Linked DNA regions of Canis lupus familiaris. The protein of the gene in region 1 interacts with the protein of each later gene in a biochemical or structural test. Links are inferred from orthologs where the notes say so. Each region holds a gene or a part of one and is shown on either strand. Other genes may lie near its edges. The genes, in order: SORBS1 and FLOT1.

Region 1 (14,984 bases):
GCCCTGCAGTAGCTGATTCAGGTTTCTGCTCTGCTAAGTGCAAGCAGGGAAGGAAAACACTAAACAAGTGGGGGCTTAAGCCACAGACACAGAAGAAGCCTCAGGAATTGGAGGCACCAAGGGCTAAGAGGCAACGGGACAGGGGCTAAAAAGAGAGTCTGCTAAAAGTTTGTTGAATGAGCCACTGCAGCCCAGGGAAAAGAAGGCAGAGATGCACTGTTTAGGCAAACTACCGGGGCGACTCTTGATTCAGACACAGTGGAGGGAGGGACACAGCAGAGATAAGAAGGGAGAGCAGGGGGCAACCTCAGGAAAGAGCCCAGTGAAAATCTGCATACCAAATGGGGTACCCAGCCTCTTTCCCCATCAAGGCTCCCAGAATGCAAGGCATAGAGCTATTATACCCCCAGGCCACATTTTTCTCCATGAAAACCCAACACCCCAGAGAAAAGATGTATAGGCACTGATGTTTAAAGTAGGCTCTCGGGCAGCCCCCGTGGTGCAGCAGTTTAGCGCCGCCTGCAGCCCAGGGTGTGATTCTGGAGACCCTGGATGGAGTCCCACGTCAGGCTTTCTGCATAGAGCCTGCTTCTCCTTCTGCCTGTGTCTCTGCCTCTCATTCTCTCTCTGTGTCTCTATAAATAAATAAATAAAATCTTTTAAAAAATAAAACATAAAGTAGGCTCTCTCCTGGACCCCTACAATGAAATCAAGCCCTCTTCTTTGTCACACAAATGACCAATCGGCACTCTTAAAATATAAATGGACAGTCAAGAATCAGTGGAAGAACACCTCCAATGGGAAATTCAATAACCGAAACAAGCCAAAAAAGGGGCTGGGAGGAAAGAAAGACAAAGCAGAAAACAGCAGAAAAACACCAAAAACAAAAACAAAAACCTAACCTAAGTGAACTTACTGCACCCATGAAACAAGAACAAGATACTATTAAAAAAAAAAAAAAAGTGAGCTTCAAACTAGGGAGTTCTAGAAAGTAAACATGTAAGCATGTTTCATGCAAAACCATGAAAACATAAATTTGAAAATTCAAAAGGGCTAAGAATGAAGCTGAAGAGGTCTCTCAAAAAGTAAAACAAAAATAAAATGAAAAACAAGAAATAAATGACTTTAAAATTATAAACTGGGGGAGCCTGGCTGGCTCAGTTGGTAGAGCATGTAATGCTCATCTTAGGGTTCTAAGTTCAAGCCCCATGTTGAGTGTAGAGATAACTTTAAAAATATATATTTAAGGGACGCCTGGGTGGCTCAGCAGTTGAGTGCTTGCCTTCGGCCCAGGACATGATCCTGGAGGCCAGGGATCCAGTCCCGCATCGGGCTCCCTGCCTGGAGCCTGCTTCTCCTTCTGCCTGTGTCTCTGCCTCTCTCTCTCTGGGTCTCTCATGAATAAATAAATAAAATCTTTAAAAAATAATAAAATAAGAGCAGAAGAGGGAGAAAGAAGTGAGGCAGAGGAAGATGAGAGACTATGTGAGAAGTCAGAGTGATGCAATGGGATGGAATTCAACAAGCCTTTGGCAGCTCTGATGGCAGAGGAAGGGGGCCAGGAGCCAGGGAATGCAAGCAGTCTCTAGAAGCTAGAAGATGCAAACATGGAAAAAGACTCTTCCGAGAAGGGAATACAGCCCTGCTACCACCTTCATTTTAGTCCAGTGAGAACCTTTTCTGACTTCTAACCTACATAACCAAAATATGAATGTATTTTGCTTCAAGCCACTATGCTGGTGGTAATTTGTTACTGCAGCAATAGAAAATCTCATTCAGTGACTGACTCTGGGGAGTAATCCCTGGAATGAGAAGGGGTGACACAGCGTTTCTTTATAAGCCTTGCAGTGTTACTTGACTTTTAAAAGTATAGACACACGCATATATATACTTATGTGTGTGTGTGTATATATATATAAATACACTTTTAAGAGTATATATCCACACGCATATATAGACATATATATATAAATAAAGACTTTGATGTAAATTAAAATTGAATTTAAAAAGACATAAAACACAGATTCTATCTTGCCAGGTCTCACAATCTGGTAGAAAAGAGAGACAGGGAACCAGCTACTGGTGAACATAGAAAGAAAAGCACCTCTTTCATATGTGAGGAGGGTCTGAAAGGAGAAGGAGGAGTCACCCAAGCAAAGCAGAAAAAGGCCTGGTGGTGAGGGAACAAGCCCTGGTGGGAGGGAGAACCTAGTCTTTAGGGACGTGGATGAGGTCTTAGCGACTGGGATATTCAGTGGTTCTGGAAGAGCTGGCGGCAGTGGGCAGCTCTCCACACCACCAGGTCTGATGCCTGCCCCACTGCTGGCTTCTCCAGCTGGGGTTTGGGACCTGCTGTGCATAATTAAAGTGGACATGGACAACTGAAAGCCCAATATAAACACAACATTTTCCTGGATCATCACTTGTACTCAATAGTAACGCACATATTTTTTTTAAGATTTATTCATTTGAGGGCAGCCCGGGTGGCTCAGTGGTTTAGCACCGCCTAAGGCCGGATCCTGGAGACCTGGGATCGAGTCCCACATCGGGCTCCCTGCATGGAGCCTGCTTCTCCCTCTGCCTGTGTCTCTGCCTCTCTCTCTCCCTCTCTGTGTGTCTGTCATGAATAAATAAATAAAATCTTTAAAAAAAAAAAGATTTATTCATTTGAGAGAGAGAGAGAGCACTAGCAAGGAGAGGGGCAGAAGGAGAGGGAGAAGCAGACTCCCCACTAAGTGGGTGGCTGGAATGGGGCTCCATCCCAGGACCTCAAGATCACAGCCTGAGCCGAAGTCAATGCTTAACTGAAAGAGCCACCCAGGCACCCCAACAGTAAAGCATTTCAAATACCTTTATACTAAACCCAGCACTGACATATTATAGAGTAGAATACAAAACTCATGTGAATTTTTAACATATTAACTAGAGATTTCAAGGTGACTACTTGCTTGCAAGGCCAGCTGTAGATGCTAAACTACCTGCTGACTACTGAGCACCAAGACTCAATCTTCTCTGTAATTAATCTGAGTCAGAAGAAAATTTTAAAGCACTACAACATGCATGCATCCATCAAAGCACCTGGGACTTCACACCTGCAACCTGTGGGTGGATACCTACCCTCCTTGTGCCTAACCTGGGTCCCAACCGAAATGAATCAGAAAGTTGAGAAACACCTCATTCTTTTCCAAAGCGATCTGGATCTTTACACTGACAGTTGGGTTAGCCCAGTTTAGGAAAACAAAGAAAAACCATCACAATGAATTCTTAAATGTACCCTCTTGGTCCTAAGCCAACCCCCCTCTTGGACTCTAAGCATTACGAGAATGCAGACAAGAGCCCCAGCTTCACCATCAGCACCGCGAACTTTTACAGTACAGCCTTCTATTGGAGAATACATCGCAGACACTCTTTCCATGGAAGGAAGTCAAGAAATAGGGCACATCTCTTGGGAGAGGGTGTCCCTTGTGTCCACAATACAGGGGTGGAAACTTTTTCTATTGTTGTAACTGTTTTTGTTATAAAAACAATAATATCCACATGACAGTGAGCTGGGAAATTTCTTTTTCTTTTTCTTTTTTTTTTTTTTTTTTGGAAATTTCTTTTTCTATAAAGAGCTATTACCAACCCCAGAAGAAAAGGGGCCGGGGGGGGTGGGGAGCAGAATCAATGGAGGGCCACACATAAAGAAGTAAAAAGCAATTTAATTGGGTTAGGGTTGTTTGTTTTGTGTGTGAAACACATAACCACACATCGAAAGAGAGTGAACTCAACTGACTGTAAATTAAGAACAGAGAAGATTAAATTTTAATAACAGTAAATACATTAAAATACATTACAAAAAAATACATTACAAAGCTCTATTATTGAAAGTAAAGAAAGAAGGTGGGGAGGAAGGTAAGAAGAAAGAGAAGAGCAGGAGAGAGAAAGAAATGTAGAGAGGAGGAAGCCATGGGAAAGCAAGAATGGGAAGACGGGAGATACACAGACACGCATGCCTCTCCATGTACAAAAAGAGGGAACAACTCAAGGAATCCACAGACACTTCCGAGGCATGAAAAAAACATCCAGCCAAAGGAAACTACATCATACAGGCCAGCTGTTGGCTTGGGCTATAGACTTCAAAGTATTAGCACCTTTCATCCTTGCCTTTGAATGGTTACTGATCAGGTTAACCACTGTTCACAGCTCCTTAATTGCTCATTGAAACATTCCCAGGCTTTAGCTCTGTCCCAGGCCTGAAGCTCCCCGCAGGTGAGCTACAGCTCAGTGAATCAGCCACCTCCTGAATCAGCTACCTCCAAGCCTGCCCTTTGAAGAGAGGATGGGAAGCAGGGTCCCATAAAACATGCAAAATACCGATGACAGAGGAGAAAACACTGCTTGAGTTGAAAATAAATACCACAGAGAACTTTCTTTCATGTTGCATTTACAAAACAAAACAAAACAAAACAAAACAAAACAAAAAAAAACCTGGGACTTCAGCATAACTGGGTCTCACCTCAGCATTCTCCTGCATCACCAGCAGCACACCTGACTTCCCGCATGTTCAGGTTCCATGTACCCCAGTGGCTCCAAAGGCCTCAGCTCAGCTGACCCTAAAACAAAGCAGCCTCTCCCACACTCAGCGGTTGGAGGGTCAACGGGAGAGGTCTTAAGGAGACCCCACATCAGCCCCAGCCCCGACAGGCCTCTCGGTCCACCCACTCCATCCTCTAAGTCAAGCCTCTCCTCTCTTCCTTCACTCCAAGAGCTGGCGAAACCTGATTTCACCGCTGGCAGAGCCCCATTTCAGCTCCATCCCTCCCTCCTCCAAGTTTGGAGGCTGTGTTTTCCCCTTCTCCACCTGACCTGCCTCCAATCTCTCCCTTCCTCAGCCCCATTTCCTCCTCACTTTCTCTATCCCATTTTAGAATCTCATCAGAGGAGGAGGGAATAAGAACTACATCTAGAACACAGGACCTAGAAACTCCCCGCCTGGCCTCCTGCCCCAGCTGTGCATCTTGCTACCTGTGTGACTTTGGACAAATCACCAAACTTCCCCAATCCCTCAAATTCCTCAGTGGGGGGGAGGGGAATGTGAAACCTGGCAATCAGGGTTTTCTTCCAAGGCTCATACTCTAAATCCCTGAACATTCACCTGTATAATCATAAATAAAGAAGGGAGTTAAACATACACAGGAAGACAGAATGGATTCTAGAGGCTCTTTTTCCTTAGCATCCTGCCAATTCAAGTCTCCCCAGCCCACCGCACCTCAGAAGGTCTGTGCCTCCCACTCCAGGCCATTCTGGCTCTGAATTATGGACGTACAGTAAATCCTCATAAATCATACTAATCAAAGAAAAGGTACGTCTGAAGCCACCAGAAGCCCGAGTCCTGGAATACTTCTTTCATGCCATTGAGCAGTACTACGAATTTAACATCGTTTAACAAACAAAACAATCTTAAAATGCTCTTACAAACTGGACTTGTGAATCCAAGAACAGTAACGCTGTCAGGAACCCTCCAGAGCCTTCCACCTTTTTTCCAACAAGCACACAGACCAGAGAGTAGAAGCCACTATCCCAAAGCAGGTTGGTGGCCCTGGCTCAAAGCCAGCTGTCCTATCTTTGGTCCAGAGCTCCTCCACCAAAGTTTTTTGGGACCATCCATTTCCTTTTACAGACAGATTAAATCCCAAATGACTAGTGAGTGCCCTATACAGCAAATCTATTTCCATGTCCAGAGAAGGGTCCAGAGCTAAGTTTGGATGACCAGACCAATGTGGCCTAATAAAAGCCTTCTTTCCTGAACCCTGCCTATTCATGCTCTGCAAAGAAAACCCCAGACTCCACTATCTATATGGAACCCTATTTTAAGGAGGCTGAACAGTTCTTTGTTCTGCCAGTAAGAAGCATCTGCTCATCCCTTCCCAGAACTCCAACCTCACTACCTCCCCCCTCCCCCATTATTCCCAATCCCTTAAAAAAAGTTCACAGAAACTCTCCAACTACCATGAAAGAGAACAGGTAAAAGACAGGGCCAACAGGGGGTAGGGTCGAAGGGAAAATGACAATACCCTCCATATCTTTGCCCTATAGGGTAGAAAGCATTTCTTTTCAGTTGTATACTCCATGAGGGGAAGTCACCAGAGACAACTCAACTCTGGGCCCTCCAGCTGAGAAATGAGCTCTCCACGACCCCAGAACTACCCCCTTTGCTAACCGTCCACTCTAAAGTGCCCAGAGCAAAAGTGCCAACAGACCCACCCTTCTCTGCCATCCCCTCAGGCCAAGAGCCTGAGACAGCAGAGCCTGGCTGGCAAGGAGCTATTTAAGGCAGCATCAAGAGGGTGGGGCAGAAAATTGCTGGCAGCATCCTCTTCCTCCACCCCTCCCTCAAGCTCGCTCGCTCACACACACACACACACACACACACACACACCTCTCAGTGGGTAGACAGCCATCTATCTCACCTGTGTCTCTAAGGGCTGTAGATCTGGAGTCTCCAAATGTCCAGCATGTGCTTTTTGTCATTGAGGCTGCTGTCCCCATCTGCTGCCCACCCCACTTTTAAACCATCCCCTTCTCTTCAATCACCACCAAGCTGCCTTTCCAATCAAAATAAATAAATAAATAAACTGAATCTAAATAGAGGAACTTGAAAACCAAGGAGAGTGGAGACAGACAAGCCATCCCTGGCCTTCACTTATGAGAGGAAAAAGGATGCGAAGGTTTGGGGGGGGGGGGGTGATGTCAGAGGCCTGACTGCCAGATAGGTTCCATGATATCTCTAAATGAACCTCCCTCCTATTGGCAGTGAAATCAATTCTGGCAATTTCAGCAGGTCGGCCCTGTGACAACAGGAGCATCCCAGCGCTCATTTTAAAACAAAAATCCAAAGGTTCAACCAGAACATGCTGGGCAAACCCAAGGTCTGGATAAAAGAAGCCACACTCAGTGGGATCCCTTCTGCTTTTATGTAGCAATGTAATAGCGTAATAAATTCTGTCTGCCCAAAGGAAGCATGCGCTGGTGAATTTCAAAGCCATCTTACAGCAGCGGATACAGGGGAGATGCAGGATTCGACAGTACATTCCCCCATGGAAGGTACACAATGACTTCAAGCCTCATCCCCCAATCTTGAATGGCGCTACCGCTCATCAAGGAAGCCACATCGGAAAGCAGCCAGGTGGGCGCCAGGGATGGCCCGGGAATTCGGGGAAAGGAGTTGCTTTTCCGTCCCTGTCGGTGGCGAGCTGCCTAGCAAGATGCCCGTCACTCCGGGGGACGAAGCGGCTCGGGCGGATGGCACCGAGTCCCCGGACCCACACACCCCCGCTCCTTCAGGCGGGTCGTAGGCCAGACGGATCGTCCTGGCGCACCTCCTGCCGCCCTCCGGTCCGGGGGATGCCGATGAATGAACACACCTGGACGCCTCCATCCTGCCGCTCGCTCCCGGCTTCTTCCTCTGGCTGCTGCAGAGGAGCCCCTCCTCGGTAGTTTCACTTTACAGCGCAGACCTACCCGGGCTTGGATGTCTCCTCCACCCACCCATACTGCAGCCAGCCTGAAGCAGGCGGACGTTGTCTCCTAGCAGTGGCCATGATCGTACGAACCCCCACCCACCGAAAATAAAACAAAACCTGAATCCCGGGGACCCCCCCCCCGCACCCTGGGGAACTTTCCTGGAGAGACAGGGGGTCCACCGCGTAGGAAGGAAGGTCCGGCCGAGGGGGAACCACGGCTCTCCCCGTGACCGCGGAGGATGCTCTGGCGGAGGGCGTCCCCCAAGTCCTTCCAACAGCTGGCCCTTTAAACGCGCCTCCTCCGAGCTCCGAGCTCCGAGCTCCGAGCGCGGAACAAAGGCGCCGCCCGCGGGGGCCGGGCCGCCGCACGCCCCCCGCGCCGTGGCCGCCGATCGGGCGAGCGCGGGCGGGCGAGCGGGCGGCTGGCGCGGGCTTACCTTGCGGGTCTCCGGGCGGGCGGGCGGCGCGCGTCCTGCCCCACTCGCACTACACGCCGCAGCTGGCCCCGCGCTGTTTTTCTGGGACTCGGCGCTGACTTCACCGACACTCCGCGGCCGGCCAATGGGCTGCGGCGGCCGCCCCCTCATTAGCATGCGTCTGGAACCCTCCACTCCGGCGGCGCCCGGGCGGGGGGCGGGGCCGGGCCGGGGGCGGGGCCGGGGGCGGGGCCGGGGGCGGGGCCGGGCCGGCCGTGACAGGAAGGGGCGTGTGCGCCAGTGGGAGGCGGGGAAGCGCCCGGCCGCCCGGCCCCGCGGCGTCGTGAGCGGAGGGCGCGGGCCCGCGGATGCTCGGTGACTCTTCCTGTCCTGGCCGGCGGTCGGCGAGCCCCGAGGCTGGCCCCGCGAGCCCTCTGCCCCTCCGAGGGCTCCGCCGCGGACAGCTGGGAGGGAACCCGGGGCATAAAGACAAAAGCCAACCTGTCTTGAGCGCATGTGCTACTGAACCCCTGTGCCCAGTTTGCTCATCTGTAAAATGGTCTAACAGTAGGATGCAGTGAGGATGAACACGCTTAACCTGCGTCAAGCATTTAGATAGTGCCTGGCCGTAGATGTTTGCTACTGTCATAATTATACTCTGTACCAGTGTCCTTGATGCTTCCTGGATGTTTTCTCATTTGGTCATCAGAGCTTCATCACAAAGGCACTGTCACTAATCTATTTTCTTTTCTTTTTTTTTTTTTTAAGATTTCTTACGTATTTATTCATGAGAGACACAGAGAGACAGGCAGAGACATAGGCAGAGGGAGACGCAGGCCCCGTGCAGGGAGCCTGTTGCGGGACTCGATCCCGGGGCTCCGGGATAACCACTCGAGCCAAAGGCAGATGCTCAACCACTGAGACACCCAGACACACACACCCCCATTTTCAAGTGGAAAAACCGTTGAGGTTTATATGGCTTGCTCAAGATTACAGAGAAAGCAACGCAATTGGGATTTGAACCCAGGCGCGGAGATTTCATTCAGGCAACACACGTTTAGGGACTCCATGACAGGCATGTGATAGGCCCTGGGGTTACAGCAAAAATCAGTGAAGTTTCCCTTCATGAGGCTTCCATTTTAGTAAGGGAGACAGGCAAGTGAAAAAATAAAATCACTACAGTGTGAAACTGAGTGAATAGAATAAGAGAAGGTAATATGCAAGGAAGAGAAGCGTCCTTTGTTAGGTTGAATTCAGAGCTAACTGCTGGACACCCTGACCTCCTCCGATACCCGCTCAGTGTTACAGAAAAGGAATCAGAGAGGGGAAGTTGCTTGCCCAAGGTCTCAGGGCCGCAAGCAGCCACGCCTAGCTTCTAGCATCCCTGAGACATCCCCCAAGATAGAGCAGTCATCCCTTGGGCTGAACAAAACTGACTTTTGTCAGCTGCCATTGACAAGAATCTTCAGCCAAAGCACATTCCCAGTTAACAAGCTGTATGTGGGGAGGTAAAGACAGGCCTTAATGACTGCATGGGCTGATAGGAAACACATCTGCTAAGGTTCTTAGATGTCAAGGAACGGTGACAAGTTTTTGCTGAGCATCGGCTGTCCTCTTCTGTGTAAAGAAAAAAAAGTTAGAACACTCATAGCCACCTGGGAGCTTATTGTACAGCTGAGGAGACAAGACGCCACCAGGAAACCACTCAGTCTAGGGAGCTCCCAGCCCATGTCTCCTTCCACTTTCACCTTGTCCTGCTGCTTTGCAAAGAAGACTAGATCAGGAATCAGGCTTCCCAGGCTCCACGATTGGCTTACTCCACCATCCAGACAAGGCAGTTCCTTCTGGGCCTGTAAAGTAATAACATGACTTTTAATCAAGCACATCTAGTCTGCTAGGCACTATTCTATACTTGCACTGAGAGCTTTACATGCATTAGTTCACACCACACAGCAACCCTGGGGATGGAGTCCAATTGTTATCCTGAGGTTATCCACGGAAGAGGAAAATAATAGGTAGAGAAACTAAATAAGTTGCCTAGCTCACAAATTCAGGGCAACGCCATTCAGAATAGAAAAAAAAAAATCAAAGCAATTCAAATGTCCAGTTTTAGTTGCATATGAATATGTATTCAGTACAACCATATGACAGATTACCACACAGCCATGAAAAATGACCCTGACCCGTAAAGGTGTACCAAATACCTTATTGGACAGGAAAGTAGATTGAAAGCTAGTTTAGTACTGCAATCCCATTAGAGTTCTATGGGATTGCAAGTAATTATTTTTTGCTCATCTCTGTTTTTTCATCATAAACATCTATCAAATTGTTTAATTAAAATAAAACAAAATAATTATAAAATGCAAAACTGGACTGTACCTCTGGAAATTCTCTATATAGACAAGGCCATCGCTATAAGTGGGAAAGTGCCTTGAGGAATCTTAAGTGAAGTCTAAGTCTTTGAGTCATCCCTCAGATATCAAACTCTGCTGGTTCCAGCCTGTATGTTTTCAGATAAATGGAAAAATACTGGAAGGACAGGAGGAAGAGAAGAACAGAAAACAGAGAGAAAGAAAAATCCTACTATCTTTCAAGGCTCATTTCAAATGTCTCCTCCAAAAAAGTATTCAGAGTCACGGTCTAATAACATCTTAACACTGAAAGTCACCCAAGAAATCAGCAGGCATAATTGTGTCAATTAATTCTTGTCTCCAGTCATTCACTGACTCATCTGAGTCTCGGGCCCTGTGCTGCTGGGCTGGTGAGACCCAACTCCCTACCTCCCAAAGGTAACCCCTGAGGAAGCAGCGGCAGGGAAGGCCAGCTCCGTGGGTGTCCGCCCTGTGCTGAGAAGGGTCCCGCTCTTGGTTTATAACCATCTTGAAATGCCTCATGTCAAGTGAGGGGCCTCACATTTTTATTTTGTACTGTGTCTTGTAAATTCTGGGGCCTGTCCTGGGAAGGAGAAACACCAAGCCGTTCTCAGTGTATCAGTAACCAAGCCTGGAGCTCAGGGCTTTCCATTCTCGTCCCATCTCTCTCTCTCTTTTTTTAAAGATTTTGTTTATTCATTCATGAGAGACACAGAGAGAGAGAGAGGCAGAGACACAGGCAGAGGGAGAAGCAGGCTCCCCACAGGGAACCCGATGTGGGACTTGATCCCAGGACTCCAGGATCACACCCTGAAGCAAAGGCAGATGCTCAACCGCTGGACCACCCAGGCACCCCATCTCATCCCATATCTTAATATCACATGCTCATTCCTGGTTCCCAGGGAAAGTGAGCATTCTTGCCTTCCAGTCCTACAGTCCTTCACTTATTCCTTCCTCATGGAATTTACCATATTTGGCATGAACTCACGTACATATGTGTATAGTCCTATTCTTCATCCTCTCTACCTACCAGATTGTAAATTCCATGAGGTCCTGGCTTGTGTCTGCTCATCTCCAACAGTGCTTAGCACTGTGCTTTACATACTGTTAAAAATGTGTTTAAACTTAATTTAATCTTATTAGTAACTCCTCGTTTTCTCTTCATGTGCATCAGATTATTCCCAGCAGTCCTTCCGCTGCTGGAGAGAAATAACAGTATCAGGCAGGAGAGTTGAGCACACAAACTGGCATCATAAACATGCTGTAGGAAGCATCCCCCAAGCAGGCCGTAACTGTGAGGAATTAGGGGAAGAGAGAGAATTTTGCAGAGGAAATGCCAGAGTTGTCAGCCTTTCCTCCATCTTTAGGGTCACACAGACTGCAGGAGAGGGAAGTAAACAAGACGATCTAGAGATGGCAGTGAGCATGGTGGTTAAGCCTGTGGACGGAATCCTGGTTCCAACACCTAATATGGAATCTCATGTAAGCTCTTGGGTCCCTCGTCTGCAACGTGAGGAATACACAACCCTCCAAGGTTTACTTGTGAGCTGTAGATGAAAGCATGCATATAAAGTGCTTATACACTGCCTGACGCATAAGCACTCGGTAAGTGGATATTATTACTAATATTACTAGGAGGCCAAGTCATGAGAGATGCTTTCCTAAAATGTGTTGGCTTTGTTAACTTGTTTCCCCAGTTACCCAAAAGCTGAACCATAATCACTTTCAGAAATATCAGCTGGAGAAAGCCAGGATGGGGGAGAAGAAAATAGGCTAAGAGAAAGGGAATTATGTATCAAAGAGTTTAGCTGATATATCACTAAAGCTCTGGTGACCATTTGTACCTAGTTTCTTTTGTAACATCTTGAAGAAAGCGAAGCAAGTAGTGGAAAGAGCAAAACTTTCTTAAAGAACAGATTCTTGGGATACCTGTGTGGCTCAGTGGTTGAGCGTCTGCCTTTGGCTCAGGTCGTGATACTGGGGTCCTGGGATCGAGTCCCACATCAGGAGGGAGGGAGCCTGCTTCTCCTTCTGCCTGTGTTTCTGCCTCTCTCTGTGTGTCTCTCATGAATAAATAAATAAAATATTTGAGAAAGAAAAGAAAAGAAAAAAGAAAGAAAGAGAAAGAAAGAAAGAGAGAAAGAAAGAAAGAAAGAAGAAAGAAAGAAAGAAAGAAAGAAAGAAAGAAAGAAAGAAAGAAAGAAAGAAAGAAAGAAAGAAAGAAAGATTCTCTTATTTCTTGCTGGTTAATTACTGAGAAAAAGTGAGTTTTCACTCTCATGCCTAAGGGCACAGAACTGACTTGAAGATAGGGGAAGGCCATACCCAAGAATTCCACATTCTTTGGAGGTCAGGACTGGCAGATACTGCCTTAGGGAAGTTTGATGAAATGGGTGGAGGTTGGTCAGAAGTCTATGGGACCAGAAATGAGAGGAGCCATGGTGATGACTTAGAAAGCAGCACTGAGATGAGCATGAACCAGTAACCCCAAGAGTCTAGTGACAGACTTCCATTTATCAATCTAAAAACACTTGCTCTGGGGCACCTGGGTGGCTCATTAGGTTGAACATCCATGCAACTCTTGGTTTCAGCTCAGGTTGTGAGATGGAGCTCCACACTCAGCAGGTAGTCTACTTGAAGATTCCCTCTGCCCCTCTCCCTCCATAAATAAATAAATCTTTAAAAAATATAGAAGATAAAAATACTTGCTCCAGCATATCTTGTGTTGTTTCTTGGATGAAAACATGTGTACGGGGACACCTGGGTGGCTCAGCGGTTTAGCGTCTGCCTTCAGCCCAGGGCATGATCCTGGAGTCCCAGGATCAAGTCCCACATCAGGCTCCCTGCATGGAGCCTGCTTCTCCTTAAAAAAAAAAAAAAAAGTGTACGGAATAGAATAGAATTCTAATTCAATGCAATTGTATTTGACCAAGTACATATGGTTTGGTTTTGAGAATTTTTTTCTGCAATTAGTCAAAATAAGACATTTAAAATGTCAAACAATTGACCTGGGTGGACCTTTGAGAGAAATCAGAAGTACAGAAACACATGTCTGTCCACTGTCACTGAATTAATGGGAGGGCCTGACTAGGTCAGGAGTTTTGGAGGAGAAGAAGAGGGGCCATCTGACTGGGCAAGGGATTCATTGATTAGAATATGCTGGGTTTACTTTAGAAGTTCTACTACTCTGAAGTAATTTAGGCAATGAAGTATTTCCTTGAGGAAAGCACTTTTAAGGTTGGTGGATCCAGCTGCCAACTCTGAGACAGGCATTCTGACTGAAGCTGGAGAAACAGAGGAAGCCAAGAAGGAGGAACAAGGAGGGAGGAGGAAAAAGAGGGTGGTTCAAGGAGAGCAAGAGAAAGTAAGAGCGATGGCAAGTAAGACGAAGAGAGATCATTGAATGTCCTGAGGCCAAAAAAAAAAAAAAATACACAATTTCAGAAACAGGGCAACTAGCCTCACTAAACTGCTATAACCTTAACAAGGTTAAAAAATCAACAACAATGGTGTTAAGGGAATAACTGACATTCTGGAAGCTGTTGGAAGCTTGTCAGAGGTGATTGGAAGAGTTCACTGAAGGAACTCATTACATAGGGCCAAATTGAGTCACATAGATGCCCTGGGAAGGTTAATAACTCTTTGTCAGCATTTATCAAGGGGAGATGCCAAGTGCTGTGTGGGGAAAGGGCAGGAGGAAAGATGGCGGGTGTGCCCACCAGGTAACAGCCCCTTCTCCATGACCTCAGCAAATCTCTTCTGTCCCCAAACTTGTTTGCCCTGTCTCCTAAACCTGGGTCACCTCAACCCACTTTTGTGAATAGCAGTTTAGTGACCACCTCTAGTCATCGTGCCATTCCCTTAGGGATCTTACCATCTGTTTCTCCATCAGGCAGAACCAAGCGATTCACCCAGGCATACAACAGCTCTTTGTGACAAGAAGTCTCAGAAAGTCATCTATTTCCAGGGATATCTGGAGCCCTCTTCAAACTGGCTATCTCAGCGGTGCTTATGTGGCCTACCTGCTTATCTGGCCCTGTAAGAAGGAGATAATCTGAAAGAATTGTGTTCTACAGCCAAGGGATTGAAGGTAACTGTACTTTATACAAGAGAGAAGTGGACAGATAAAACGATCTCCTCCCTTAGGCGGAAAGAACCAAGGACTCCTTCATTTGACCCTGATTAGAAGTAGAGCAGAACCAGAAAGCATGCTAAAATGAGGTTCCCAAAATCTGTTACAACCCAAGCTGCCACCTTCAAAGAAGGAAGTTATTATTCCTGGTGAACCCTCCAATAAGAAGATAGTAAGGACCCCTGGGAGGTCAGTGCCAGCCCCATTATTGAACTCAGTGACCCTAAGACAAGGCTCAATGGAGTTAAACAATGTGATACCACCAGTTGGTATTCAGACTGCTGGGATAAGCTGCTCCACTCTTTGGTTCCAGAGTATTCTATATTTGGATGAGAGCTTCTAACCCCCAGGTGATTCCTTGAGAGTGGGGAGCTGAGCCATCAGGTAGCCCTGGCATTGTGGGAAGAGGACTCTCAAATAATTCAGTTAACCAATATCATGTGCCTACTGTGTTCCAGTCCCTCTACTCAGTGCTGAAAAACCAGAGAATAATCCTCAAGATGCTACAAGCTACTGGGAGAGACCAATAAATACACAGGCAATTACTAGACAGTGTTCT
Region 2 (14,796 bases), on another chromosome or scaffold:
GCTTTTTTTGTTACACCATGCCTCCTTTCTATCACAAATCCATCTCAAGTCAACAAAGTTACTGAGTATCTACCAAATGCCGGGTATAGCTGAGGTTTTAGTTTCCATTTCTTGAGCACCCTGACTCCAGACCTCTGTTTCCCCTTTTCAAATGTTCTCACTTCCAAATATCTGTCTTGTTCCCATTACCCTCATCCCCCATTCTAGACTTTGGTCTGCAATGTAGCAGTTATCTAGGTGGGCCATCAGGCATGATTCACTCCTTTGCCAAGGAGTGAGGGCCAGTGCTTTGCCATCCATCACCTGCACAGTTATTCTCAATTTAATGGCAGATCCTTCTGTGCCATGGTTGAGCATCCCGCATCCCATCTTTGAAGAGGAAGCATTTGAACCCGGGAGGGGGCCTCTGAAAGGACACAGCTGGGTAAACAGACACTTCCAAGGCTGAGGGGTAGCTCCTCAGAGGGGATGTTTCTAAGGATACACATTAATCCCCTACTAGGTGAAAGGCCAAGTACTGGAGATACTACCAAGATATCATGAGAAAAAGAGTGGATGTGGTCCTGTTTATTTATGGAGATTATATTCCAGTGGGGGGACACAAAACAACAACATACATAAAAATACATAAAATGATGCCCCATTGTAGCAAGAGTTCTAAGAACATGAACAAGGGGCTAAGAAGGACGTTGGTGGGAGGTCAAGATCACAGGTCAAATGAAGGAAAGGAAGGAGCATTGGCAATCTTGGGGAAGATGGAGAGGAAATGAGGAACAGTGAGAGCAGTGAAATGGAAAGGGGCCAAAGGCCTGTCTCCCCAGGATTAGGGCAGTGAGAACTGGTCCAGCTGCTGGTCTCAGCCCTGGTCCTTCCTGGCCTTAACTCATCCTCCAGCTCTACCCTCCCCCCCCCACAACCTTTCATTGGCTTAATGATTCACTCTCAACTTTTCCCTAGCTTCCTGCATGGCAAGGAGGGGGTAATGCAGAGCCTTGGCTCTCTGAGGGTAGCAGGAACAGGGATGACATTGGTTGAGAAGGAATGATGAGCAGTCTAAGATTTCTGGTTCTTCTCTGTCCCATTCTGGTCTTGCCACAAAGAAAGGTCTCTCTGTGCCAGGAGGACAGTGAAGATAACTAGGCCCAGCTGGAGGCCCTGATTCTAGATGTGGGAGGTAGTGGTGAAATAAGATCCTGACATCCCACTTCATTTCCCCTCCCCTGCCAAGTGCCCTAGAGAAATTTTCCATCATAAACAAGTTATGCATTCCTGACCTTGGGTGCCCCCCCAAGCCATCTTCTCCCATCATCACCATCTCCCTCACCCCTGATTTATATCTGTGTGAGCCTGTATGTGGGCCATCAGTACATGTAAGTAGTTCATGTATTCATGCTAATCATTGTGTAGTGTACAGCTTGCCCTGGAATAAGGGTGTAAGTAGGTGCAGGCTCACTGCTTGGGTGTAAAAACAATGATGGCAGGTGTGGAAGGCACGTATAGGGAAGGGACATGTCTCTGTGGAGGTGTGTTTTATGCTGGTCAGGAAGAAGTGTGGTAACACATGAGTTTAGACAGTAGTAATAGGTGTAAAATCAAGCGACATAGAGGCCCAGGAAGCGATTGTATATACAGCAATAATGTATCAATTGAAGCCCAATCGTGGGAATGTCCCTGTTTGCATCCCACACATCCTTGGTTGAGAAATGCCATTAGGTGTTCCTTGTTTGATGTGTGTGTAAGAATTGTCACAGCTGTTCTTAATATACTGTAAATTAAATTTTAAAAAGATACTGTAAATTTGTATGTGGGGTTTGAAAGAGTATATCCATGTCTCAAAGCTTGAGGTGACACAGCCAGGGGGTGAATACTATATGTGTGTGTATAGTTCTGTATTTTCAGCCTTCGTTTAACAAGACTGTGGAGCAACTACTGCATGTAAGGCAGTGTGCTGGGCTTTATGGAGGGCACAGACACATGTGTGACACAGCCTGTGGTGGAAGAGATCATATGTGTACTCTGTGTACACCAGACATAATACGATCTGGAGTAAAGACCTGAGCCAGATGCATTTCAAATCCCTGGAGTCAGCCTTGATGCCTTCATGCTCTCACAGTCAGCACCCCAAACTCTCCATGCTCTCTGATTCTTTTTTTTAAGATTTTATTTATTTATTTATTTATGTATGTATGTATGTATGTATGTATTTTATTTATTTATGAGAGAGAGAGAGAGAGGCAGAAACACAGTCAGAGGGAGAAGCAGGCTCCATGCAGGAAGCCCGACGTGGGACTAAATTCCAGGTCTCCAGAATCACGCCCTGGACTGAAGGCGGCACTAAACTGCTGAGCCACCCAGGCTGCCCCATGCTCCCTGATTCTAATGATTCCCATCTCATTACTAAATCCCTGTGGTCTTAGGCTAGGAAAGTTGCTTCCTGCCACTCCTCCTCTTGGCTCCCTCTGCCATGGCCCATCTCCAGCCCTTGTTACCATCCACCTGAACATTTCCAGTAGCCTCTGATCCCCTATTACAGTGTCTCCCCATGCAGGGCATACTTGTCATCCGATTTAGTTCCCAGCTTGAACTGCCTTCCTTTTATAATCTCTCATGATCCACGGAATCCAGGATCTAGTCTGGCCTCGCAGCTCAGCTCTCCACACTCTGCCCTCCTTTCCAGAATCATTACTTCCCACTACTCCTTTACAGGAAACTTACTGTAAGATTGTTTTTCTAGCAATTCCCCAAACACATCCTGTACTTTTCCAGTGCAGGGCTTTTGCTGATCCCATTCTCTTCCTCACAGTCATCTTCCACATCTGATTTTGTGGTATCCCACCCACTGTTCAAAGTCATCTCAAATGCCACTCTTCCATGAACCCTCGCCTTATTGACTAGACAGACATGAACATTCGTTGTTTTGGGTCCCTCCTCCTTTGCACTTAGTGTTCAGTTGTCTTAAGACCCTCCAGAGAGGGACGCCTGGGGTGTCTCTGGTTAAGCACGTCTGCCTTCAGCCCAGGGCGTGATCCTGGAGAACCAGGATCGAGTCCTGCATCGGGCTCCCTGCACGGAGCCTGCTTCTGTCTCTGCCTCTCTCTTTCTGTGTCTCTCATGAATAAATAAATAAAATCTTTTTTTTTTTTTTTTTAAAGACCTTCCAGAGAGTTCTCCGGGTCCGGGGTCCGGGTCCCCTCTGCATGCATACGGTGAGCCGCCTGCTGAATCTGGCTTGCCCTACTCACCAGCCCATACACTGAAACCAACCTCAGTACTTTCAAACCAACCTCAGTACTTTCAACAGGACCTTTAACGGGGTGCCTGGCTCCAGTAAAGGATGTTAAACTGTGTCCATGAGGAGCTGTCTCTAAGGCAGTTATGAAAATATGCAATTCTCTCTTAGTACTACTACCACACTTAAATAACATCTCACAGTTTAAAATGTTCTTTTCATATAAATTGTGTTAAAAAATAACAAGGGACAAATCTGATGGCAAGGGACAAATCTGGGTGGTTGCTTACCTCTTGCCTTTGTTTTGTAGCACCTTCCCTACGTGAGCATTTCTGCATACATCTATGTGGGTAGTAGCTCTGTTGTGTTGCCCCTGTGAAGTCTCTGCCCCTTTGCTCTGTGTATGTGTGTGCCCGCACGCACATGTGTTATGTGCATGTTAAAGGGGAACAGACCAGGCCACCCCAAAATGTGCTGACGGCAATCAACACCCAGCACACAAGAAGAGCTTTTTACCTCTCTCCCTTAACTGCCTAAAAGAATTTAGATAGGGGGCAGCCCCGGTGGCACAGTGGTTTAGCCTGGGGTGTGATCCTGGAGACCTGGGATCCAGTCCTACATCGGGCTTCCTGCTTCTCCCTCTGCCTGTGTCTCTCCCTCTCTCTTCACTCTCTCTGAATGAATGAATAAATAAATCTTAAAAAAACAATAATAATAATTTAGATAGGCACCTGAACCATGAAGACAGCTATTACCACAGATAACTTTTTATCAGGACAGAACAAACATCTGCCTCGGAGCATCTTCTCTTATCTTCCTGTGAATTGCCCTCCTCCCCTTTGAAGCCCCAGGCTCCTGTTCCATTCCTTAGCTCAAGATAGCATGTAACCCCAATTGCCTTATTGCCTTTGAATCTCATGGCTTCCCAGGCTCCCGAAGTATGTAATTAAACCTGCTTTTCTCCTGTTACTCTATCTTGTATCAATTTAATTATTAGACCAGCCAAAGAAGCTAGAAGGAAAGAAGGGACGTTCTTTTTGCCCCTACAACATGTGTGCTGAGGTCAGCAGCATGGTGTCTGCGTGTACTAATGTGTTCATTTCTCTGTCTTCTTGGCTATTTCTGTAACTACTTTCCTCTTGAGGTGTGTGTGTGTGTGTGTGTTTTCTGTGTGTACCTACAAGTGTATAAATGTGCGTGTGTAACTGTAATTCCTTGACTTTGCTGGGTGACTATCGTCCCAGCGTGGCCAGATTGGTCAGTCCTCCTGCCTCCCCAGAGATGGGGCCGGTGGCCCAGCCATCTCCTAAGCTATCCGGTGGTCCCTGCCTAGTTGCCACATGCCCTGACATGTGCCTGCAGCCCGGGATCTCACCCACCCCACTCCCAACCCCCACACTCCCAACACACACACACTTGGGCGCCTAGGGGTGCACAGACCAAGTCTCCACCCCCTCTCTTTGCTTAACCGTCGGAATTTCCAGCTTGCTCTGGCCATCCCTCCCGGCGGCGGGAGGAGCCGAGGAGGACCCGCCCAGGTCTGAGGCGCCCTTAATTCGCTCGGCACCGGCGCGGGTCCGCATCCGGCCTTCCGCTCCGCTCGCCGCGCGATGTGTCGCTCCCGCAGCTCCCTCCCCACCATGACCGTCCCGCGGGCTCCGACCTCCGTCTCGTCCACCAGCCCCGGGCCCCGGCGGGGCTCCGGTCCCGAGATCTTCACCTTCGATCCTCTCCCGGAGCCTGCGGTGGCCCCTGCCGCGCGCCCCGGCGCGTCCCGCGGGCATCGGAAGCGCAGCCGTAGGGTCCTCTACCCGCGAGTGGTGGGTACCGCGGGAGCCGGCGGCGGGCGGGGGCGGCCGACGCGGGGTCCCGCCAACCTGTCCCCTTGCTTGTCTCCCAGGTCCGGCGCCCGCTCCCGGCCGAGGATCCGAACCCGGCCAAAAGGCTCCTGTTCCTCCTGCTCGCCGTCATCTTCTGCCAGATTCTGCTGGCCGAGGAGGGTGTGCCGGCGCCCCTGGCCCGGGGGGACGTCCCCAGCGGCGCACCCCCTGCGCCCTCCCCGGCGCCCCCGGTCCTCGAGCCCCTCAACCTGACCTCTGCGCCCTCGGACTACGCTCTGGACCTTAGCACTTTCCTACAGCAACACCCGGCCGCCTTCTAACGCGAGCTCCCCACCTCCCCCCGAAAGAACCGGAAAACCCAAATAGACACCAGGTGTACCTGGTGCGCGAGAGCGTATCCCAAACTGGGACTTGCGAGGCAACTTGAGCGGAGAGCACGTCAGCAGAGACGCCAGCCCGCGCCGGAGACGAGCCGAGCACCGGCCCTCCGGGGCCAGGCCCGGTGCGGAAGAGCGTCATTAATTTATTTCTCACTGATCCTAATTAATATTTATATGTATTTATGAATGTCCCCCTAGGTGATGGAGGGGTGTCTGTAATATTTATTTTAACTTATGCAGGGGAGCGCGATGTGCCCCCGTGCTGTAAGCGCAGAACTCTCGGTATTTGCTGAGCTTCGTGGGAGAGGTGGAGGCGGGCGCGCAGGGCTGAAGCGCACCCGGAGGGCCGGGGAGCGCCCAGGCGGAGTCGAGGACGCCGCTGGCACGTGGGCTTAGGGGCTGGTGTTCGTCCTCCGGGGTTTCGGCCCCTTGGATCTGCCGTGTGAGGCTTCGGCGGACCACTGGGGTGAGGTCCTTGGCCTTCGGTCTTCTCAAAGTTGCCCCCAGTGGGTGGCTGGGGTGTCGGAGGTCGGCGGGCGGCCAGGGGGCGGCTGCGCGGCCGTCCAGTATGTTCCGTGAACACCAATAAAGTCGACTTCTTGTCCGTAGTCCTCCGAGTGTATTTTGCAAGCGGCGACTCCCCACTAGTCCCCGCCTCCCGGCGCCAGCGGCGAGCGGGAGGGGCGGGGGCCGCGTCCCCAGCAGGCGCTGCGCCCCGGGCGGCCGGGTGCAGCCGGGGGCGGCCTCCCAGGCCCCGCGGGGCAAACCCGAAATGAGGCAACCTCCGGGCCCGCGGAGGTCACGTCCCGCGTCCCGGGGCGGAGCTCCCGGCTGGGGGAGGGCGGCGGGACCGGGGCGGGCGCGGCCTGCCGGGAAGGGGGCGGGGCGGAGGGCGGCCGCCGGGGGAGGGGCGCGGGCGCGGGCCTGCGGCTGCCGCAGGGTGGGGCCGGGAGGGGCGCGGGCGCCTTCCGCGCTGGCTGGAGGCCGTTCCCCGCCGTTCCCCGCCGTTCCCCGGCCGCTGCTCGCCCCGGCCTGCGTGCGGGGAGGCGGGTGGGGCGCCGAGAGGTAATCGGGCTGCGGAGGGCCAGGGAGGGCGGCGCACGGGCTGGGGCCTCTAGGCGCAGGAGCGCTTTACCCGAGGATCGAGAAACCGTCCTCCCCGAAAGCAGGAAGTGGCCGTGAGCCGGCGGGGGAGAGCCCTGGCGATCGGTGGGACTTCACCGGGAAATGCCTTAGTGGACCCATGGGTTCGGAAGGGACCGGGCCCTGGTGGCTGCGGATGGGGCTAGACTGACGGAAAGAGAATTTGCTCTCCCCCAGACCCCGCCCGCAAAGGCTTTCTCTCCCTTTTCCTCCAGCTTCAGCCTGAGCCATGTTTTTCACCTGTGGCCCAAATGAGGCCATGGTGGTCTCTGGTAAGTAATGCTCTCTTCCCAGCCAGTGCCCCCAAGCCCTGTGGTCCGGCCTCTGCCCCGTACCCTTCTCCCCACCAGCTCCCAGGTCCAGGCCTTCTGTCCACACACCACCCTCCCGCGACCTCCCCATGGCTGCAAGCCACCCCACTTGTGATTCCCAGCGCTACCTAACAAGGCCTGGACTGCCTCCTCTTCGACTCCCAGATTTCCCTTTTGGGATCAACCCCCACCCCACGTTTTCAGTCTTCCGTTTTCTAGCCCTACTCCTGCCACTGCAGTCTGCTACCCCCTCACCTTGCAGGTTTCTGCCGAAGCCCCCCAGTCATGGTGGCCGGAGGACGTGTCTTTGTCCTGCCCTGCATCCAGCAAATCCAGAGGTAGGTAGAAAAGAACCAGGAAGGGGAACCCCAGTTTTCTCTCTTTCCTGTTTTCCTCACTGTCCACTCCTTCTTTTTCCCGTAGGATCTCTCTCAACACACTGACCCTCAATGTCAAGAGTGAAAAGGTTTACACTCGCCATGGGGTCCCCATCTCAGTCACTGGCATTGCCCAGGTGAGGCTTTCAGAGCCTTTTCCCCCAAAGTCCATTCCTTCATCCCCTTCTTTGTCCCCAGACATTAAGAATCTTCTGACCATGGCCTCCCCAACCTCTGGCCACAAAGAAATTTCTCTGCTAAGTTTCACCTTCTCCAGGGACTCCCAAGGCACTTAACTCTTCCATTCTCTTCCTGCTTGCTACTTGGCTTCAGGAGGCCTTCACCACACTTTCCCTATCCCTGCTCTGGTTACAGGTGAAAATCCAGGGGCAGAACAAGGAGATGTTGGCAGCTGCCTGCCAGATGTTCCTGGGGAAAACGGAGGCTGAGATTGCCCACATTGCACTGGAGACTCTGGAGGGCCACCAGAGGGCTATCATGGCCCACATGACTGTGGAGGTGGGCTTGAGGGCAGGGAAAGATCTGGGAGAGATGCCCTGAAGAACCCAGCTAGTCTGTGGGAAACAGTAGCCAGAAGACTGAGAGCCTCAGTTCCTCCTTCCTACCATTCTGTTACCCTAGGAAATCTATAAGGACAGGCAGAAGTTCTCAGAGCAAGTTTTCAAGGTGGCCTCCTCAGACCTGGTCAACATGGGCATCAGTGTGGTTAGCTACACCCTGAAGGACATTCATGATGATCAGGTAAACTTAGGTGGGGCTGATCCTCTCCAGTTCCCTGCTCCTATCTCTTAAGCCCTCCTGAGGATTCTGATTGCTGCTTCTCTTCCTCAGGACTATTTGCACTCCTTAGGGAAAGCTAGAACAGCTCAAGTCCAAAAAGATGCTCGCATTGGGGAAGCAGAAGCCAAAAGAGACGCTGGGATCCGGGTGAGCTGGATCCCATTTGAGGGCTCACTTGGTCACCATGGGCTTCTTGGGCATGCAGTGGGAGAGGGGATGGAAGGGGCACGACTGAGTGAGGACTCAGAGAGCGGGGTTGGCAGAGGAAAGAGATGAGGCCATGGGCAGGGGAGCCTGGTGAGGAGCTGGCTCTCTGCCTTGGGGCCTTCCTCTCCCTACTCTAACTTCCTCCCTGATCTCTGTGTGGACAGGAAGCCAAAGCTAAGCAAGAAAAGGTGTCTGCTCAGTACCTGAGTGAGATTGAGATGGCCAAGGCGCAGAGAGACTATGAGCTAAAGAAGGCTGCATATGACATCGAGGTCAACACCCGCCGAGCCCAGGCTGACCTGGCCTATCAGCTTCAGGTCAGACCTCTCACACTGGGCAGTTATTTCCTCTCAAGCCCTCCATTTTAGCCCTCCACACTTTCCCAGGTTCTAACTCTAATCCCTTTATTCTGGCTCTACATTTCTGACCCAACTTCTCCATATGAGGAAGATTTGAAAGACCTAAGCATTTCGGTTGAAAAGCAGAGGCCAAGAAGGGACATGGTCAGTAGGATGGGATCGTATGTTTGGGCAGACTGGGCAAGGGCCCCTGGATGAGGGGGAAAGCAGAGCTAAGGTCTAGCTGGTGCTCTGTTCACCATGCTCTGCATTCCGGCATAGGTGAATGGTGCCGCATCCACCTAGGGGAAGGGGCACCTTTTTCTGATTTCCCATGAGCTCACAGCAGCCATTTGGGGACTTGGAAATGGGGACTTGGGCTTTGAACCCTGCAAAGTAAGATATGGGCAGCCCTTGATATTGCGAGGAGGCATGGACAGTCCTCATTGTTTACAGATTCTGTATTTGAGAATTTGCCTGCTCACTAAAATTTACTGGTAACCCCAGAAACAGTACTTGTGGCACCTTTGTGATCATTTGTGGACATGCACAGAGCATTGAAAAATCTGAGTTGCCTGATGTGCAGTTGAAGGTGAACGAGATGTTCTGCCTTCGTGTTGCAGTTCTCGTAGTGTAAACAGTGTCAGTACTGTAAACACTGTCATTTTCACCGTATAGTGACTGCTACATTTTTTTGCATTTTTGTACTTTGTTGGTGATTTTGCTGTTTAAAATGACCCCCAAGCATCCCGCTAAAGCATTAAGTGTTCCTAAGTGCAAAGAGGCTGTGATATGCCTTATAAAGAAATTACATGCTTCTTTCAGGCATGGGTTACAGTACTGTTGGCAATGACTTCATTGTTAATGAATTAACCATGTATGTTGCATAAGGTATCTTTAATCAGAAACACATATAAAGCAAGGACATAATACTGATCTGTTGACGAAATGTTGTGAACAGGGGCACATAGGAACCTAACCGTATATTTTCCCTAACAACAGAATAAGTGTTTGTTAGTGCAGTATTTGTGGCTACTTTATGGAGCAGATCCACCATGAATAATGAGAATCAACGATACATTAAGACTTTTACCCAAAGGATAGCAATAGCGTGAGATTTGTTTTTGCCAAGAGTTGGTATAGGCTGAAAGGATAATGAAGTACAAAGCATCTCTAGTTATGATGTTAAATTCCTGGTGGTTTGACAGGTCATTGAGTGTGGCATAGCACTTTTTCCTCAATGTGGTCTGCCTTCCAACAGCATCAGCATCATTGTGGAGCTTGTTAGATACAAAATCTGAAGCTCCAGTTATACTAACTTAATCAGAGTCTGCATTTTTTTTTTTAAAGTAGGCTCCACACCCAACATGGGGGTTGAATGCATGACCCTAAGATCAAGAGTTGCGTGCTCTACCGACTGAGCCAGCCAGGTGCCCTTAGAATCTGTATTTTAACAAAATCTCTAGGGGATTCATGTACACATTGGAGTTTGAGAAGCATTAACATAGCAGAAATTAGCTTGTGTGGTCCTTAACCTAAATATGGCTTTCCTCCTCTGCAAATTAAAGGATTGGGCTGGTTTTGGCTCTGTTCCAGTTATACCAGTTCTTTATTTTGTGCCAGACTTTGTGCTGGTTGCTTGGGAAATAAGGACTCATTCAACAAATAGCTATTAAGTGCTTACTATGTACCAGGCATTGTTTTATTTTTATTTTTTTATAATTTATTTTTTATTGTGTTCAATTTGCCAACATACAAAATAACACCCAGTGCTCATCCCGTCAAGTGCCCCCCTCAGTGCCCGTCACCCATTCAGGCATTGTTTTAGAAGTGAGGATATAAGCATGAATGAAACAGAAAAGATGGGCAGCCCTGGTGGCGCAGCGGTTTGGCGCCGCCTGCAGCCTAGGGTGTGATCCTGGAGACCCAGGATCGAGTCCCACATTGGGCTCCCTGCATGGAGCCTGCTTCTCCCTCTGCCTGTGTCTCTGCCTCTCTCTCTCTGTGTCTATGAATAAATAAATAAAATCTTAAAAAAAAAAAAAGAAAGAAGCAGAAAAGATTCCTGCCCTCATGGAGCTTACATTTTAACACAGGAAATAACTAATAAAGCAAGTAAATAACTTTCATAGGTTCTAATTATCTTGTGTAAGTGCTGTGAAGGAAATATAGAGAGTGATGCAAAAAACAGTGGAGAGATACTATATTAGGTTGGGGCTGATCTAAGAAAGCTTCAGTGAGGAAGTGATTTATGAGATAAACTGGAAGATGAGAAGGAGCCAGCAATGTAGAGTTGTGGGCCAATAGCATTCTAGGCCATTGCTGTTCAAATAGAATTTTCTGTGATGATGGAAATGCTGTAAATTTGTGCATTGATGTTGAGTGCTTGAAATGTGGCTTGTGGAACTGTGGCTAGTGAAATGTGAGGAACAGAATTTTAAATTTTACTTATTTTAATTAATTTTAAATATAAATAGCCATATGTGGCTAGACAGAGGACCACCGTCTGCAAAGGCCCTGAGATACGAAAGAGGTTGATGTATCCCAAGAACAGAGAGGAGGATTCTGATCTGGTGGGGCTGGTATGCTGTGAGTGAGATGGCAAGGCAGGCAGGGCCAGGTCATAGGGTTCAAGTGCCCCTGTTGGAGACTTAGAAGGGAATTCAGAACCCAGTGGAAAGCTATTGGAGAACTTTAAGCAGGGAGGTGCCATGGTCTAATTTACATTTTTACGAGGATCAGTCTGACTGTTGTGTGGAGAATTGATGGTCAGAAGACAAGAGAGGATGCAGGAAGATAAGTTGGAAGCTTTTTCAAAGATGATGGATTAAATAAATACAGTTCATTGCACTCCCTCTCTAAAACCTCACTGAAACCACAGAGTGATTTTCAGAAAAGAGGAAGAAGGCGAAAACAGATGGAGAGAATAGCATCAGGATGAACAGAAAGCATGGTATCATTTTGGAAGCCAGAAAGCCATTGTAATCGACGAAGCCAGTAATCGATAAGGCCATAATCATTTTATCAGTGACGGGCACAATGTGACCATTGAATGCTAAATGCTGACAGTCTCCCCTAACTCCTTTACCCCATTTGGGCCCAAGACCCTCCATCTTCCAAAGAAGTCATCAGAAGACTGTGCTGGGGAACACAACCAATCCAAAGATCCTGAATCATAGGTTCTTCAGCAGATGACTTGTCCAGATCACCCTAGAATGAAGCCTCACCCACATGCTGGGTTTCAGTGTTTTAGACCTCCTTCACTGTGAGCAGGCCATCGAAGATTACCTGATATATGAGGGAATACTGCAATGTTAAAGTCCGAGACTGGAACCACAAACAGCAAAGCAATTTGGAGGTTATGCAGGGAGAAGAAAGCTTAAAATTTTTTTAAATGTCCTCAGTGACAGAAGAATTCACATCCAGAAAATCAGAGCATAAAACAGAAAACAAAAAAAGAGTTCTTAGAAATCAGTAAGATGACAGAAATGAGAGGGGCAAATCATATTGAAAGAAATTATAATGAATCTACAGATTTACTCATCTAATTCTAATAAATTCCGATTTTGGGATCCCTGGGTGGCGCAGCGGTTTGGCGCCTGCCTTTGGCCCAGGGCACGATCCTGGAGACCCGGGATCGAGTCCCACGTCGGGCTCCTGGTGCATGGAGCCTGCTTCTCCCTCTGCCTGTGTCTCTGCCTCTCTCTCCCTCTCTCTGTGTGACTATCATAAATAAATAAAAATTAAAAAAAATAAAAAATAAAATAAAAAAATAAATTCCGACTTTAATAAATTTATTAATCCTAGTCTACAGATTATTAATCATAAAGTATGAACAGAACAAAGAAAATGGTAGGAAAATCAATGGAAAAAATTTTTTTAATGTTTGTTCTGAAAGGTATGACTTTCTAGATTGATACTTTCTACATTGGACTGTTTCAATGCACAATACAATGAATGAAAAACAACTACACTATGAAATTTCAGAACATGGAGAACAGAGAAAGGATATAAAAGCTTCCAGAGAGAGAGAACAGATTGCACAGGGCCAAGCATCAAAATGACTTCAGATTTCTCAAGAAGCTAGAAGACCATGGAGCAGTGCCTTCAAAAATGCTGATAGAAAATGAATTCTAACCTGTACTCAATCTCATTGTCATTCAAGTAGAAAGGTAGAATAACAATCTCAGAAAAGCAAGATCTCAAAAAATGTATTGCCCATATACTTCTTCCAAGGAAGCTCCTGGGGGTTATTTCATCAAAAAGGATGCCTAAACAAAGGCAGGAGGGGCTCCAATATAGAGAGAGATCCTGCACACTGGGGTAGAGAGCAAGTAGCTCAGTTTGGAACTGGTTTGCAAATTTAGGGTCAAAGACAGCACAGGGTGCCATATCCAGAAGCACCTTTCCTCTGGGTGAACAGATGAGTGCAGTAAAGGCAGGGGCATCATATCTGCTATTGATAAGACCCACAGGGATGATGGTACATGGCTGAGCTGGAGCAGTGGGACAGGAAAGAAGCATGTTCCTCTACTGGTGCCTCTCCTCACCAAAATCTTGGCAAGAGCCTTCCGATCTCTGTACAGGAATAAGAAAATGAAATCTGCCTAAAAAGAGGAATTCTATATGTACAGTCTTGTAAATGCTTAGAATCTCCCTGGAAGAAGACGACACAAGAAGCTGGTCACAATGCTTGCCTCTGGGGAAAGGAACAAGGTAGTTTGAGGAAATAAGTAGAGGAAACCTTGATTCTCATTGTCCATTTTTTTTGAGTTTGTATCATATACAAAAGATAAAAGATATATACATGCCCCACCACCACCAAAGCCAGTAGGAAGCTATTGCAGGGAGGGTGAGTTTGGTGGTGGCTTACAAGACGGTTACAGCAGCTCATATGGAGAGAAGTGGGTGGATTTGAATGACTGGAGGTGGAAGATGCCACCGCACATCAGAGCCCTGCAGGTTCTCAGACTCTAGAGAGGGACGCTGTGGAGAAATAGACTAATACGGGAGCTCAACAAGAGGGACACTTAGCCTGGCCTGAGGGAGAACAGGGACTGGATTCCAGCCCTAGCCAGCTTTTGATGGTCAGGCTGCCTGGAAGATACCTCTGAGGAGGATCAGGCCATCCCTCAAGCCACAACTGGGATCCATATGGGAAATGGACTCCACTGGGCTGGCTGAACCCACCAGGGACTGACTTCATGTCCTTACTCTGTTTTTTTTTTTTTTTTTAAGATTTTATTTATTTATTCATGAGACACACAACACATACACACACACACACACAGAGAGAGAGAGAGAGAGAGAGAGAGAGAGAGAGGCAGAGACACAGGCAGAGGGAGAAGCAGGCTCCATGCTGAGAGCCTGACGTGGGACTCGATCCCGGGACCCCAGGATCAGGCCCTGGGCTGAAGGCGGCGCTAAACCGCTGAGCCACGCGGGCTGCCCCTTACTCTGTTTTTATATCTCACCCTGGAGCCCTTGCCCTGGCTTTTCTCTGTGGTTCCTGGGAACTTGCTCTTCAGCCCTGAGGTTGAGCATTGCTCCTTCCCAGGTGGCCAAAACTAAGCAGCAGATCGAGGAACAGCGGGTACAGGTGCAGGTGGTGGAGCGGGCCCAGCAGGTGGCAGTGCAGGAACAGGAGATCGCCCGGCGAGAGAAGGAGCTGGAGGCCCGAGTTCGGAAGCCAGCGGAAGCTGAGCGCTACAAGCTGGAGCGCCTCGCTGAAGCAGAGAAGTAAACACCCGCTCCCAGGCCCTATCCTGCTCCTTTCTCATCTGGCTCCCCCCAGGTGAAGAGTGGAGGCCCTCACTACCTGAACTCCTATGGAACTCAGGTTACAGAAGCCTCTGTCTCTCCAGCAGGGCCTGCCTTTTGCCCTTCCTCAGCCCCTCCCTCCTCTTCCTTTCTGTGCACAGGTCCCAGCTAATTATGCAGGCTGAGGCAGAAGCGGAGTCGGTGAGGGTGAGTGAAGAGGTGGCTCTTGCTGGCTTGCAGAGGGAATGGGAGTTGCTGCTTGAGCTGGGTTTCTTGTCCTTAACTACAGCCATCAGCACCACAATCTCCCTTTCCCTTCTCAGATGCGTGGGGAGGCTGAGGCCTTTGCCATCGGGGCTCGAGCCCGGGCCGAGGCCGAGCAGATGGCCAAGAAGGCAGAAGCATTCCA

What was found.
Region 2: the proteins of SORBS1 (region 1) and FLOT1 form a complex in vitro, tested with the Homo sapiens proteins (2 studies listed by BioGRID). The link is inferred for Canis lupus familiaris from reciprocal best matches to the Homo sapiens genes SORBS1 and FLOT1.

What each region holds. Positions count from the first base shown.
Region 1 is NC_049249.1:9,237,098-9,252,081, forward strand, and holds the start of SORBS1 (sorbin and SH3 domain-containing protein 1), read right to left. Parts: upstream 8,087-14,984; 5' UTR 7,943-8,086; intron 4,723-7,942; exon of another isoform or gene 4,499-4,722; intron 1-4,498. UniProt on the Homo sapiens protein: Plays a role in tyrosine phosphorylation of CBL by linking CBL to the insulin receptor. Required for insulin-stimulated glucose transport. Involved in formation of actin stress fibers and focal adhesions.
Region 2 is NC_049233.1:658,758-673,553, reverse strand, and holds the start of FLOT1 (flotillin-1), read left to right. Parts: upstream 1-6,375; 5' UTR 6,376-6,515; intron 6,516-6,537; exon of another isoform or gene 6,538-6,659; intron 6,660-6,808; 5' UTR 6,809-6,822; coding exon 6,823-6,865; intron 6,866-7,166; coding exon 7,167-7,242; intron 7,243-7,327; coding exon 7,328-7,418; intron 7,419-7,656; coding exon 7,657-7,800; intron 7,801-7,923; coding exon 7,924-8,043; intron 8,044-8,133; coding exon 8,134-8,229; intron 8,230-8,453; coding exon 8,454-8,606; intron 8,607-14,184; coding exon 14,185-14,366; intron 14,367-14,548; coding exon 14,549-14,594; intron 14,595-14,710; coding exon 14,711-14,796. Other genes in the region: IER3 (radiation-inducible immediate-early gene IEX-1), read left to right, coding at 4,840-5,049, 5,130-5,390. UniProt on the Homo sapiens protein: May act as a scaffolding protein within caveolar membranes, functionally participating in formation of caveolae or caveolae-like vesicles.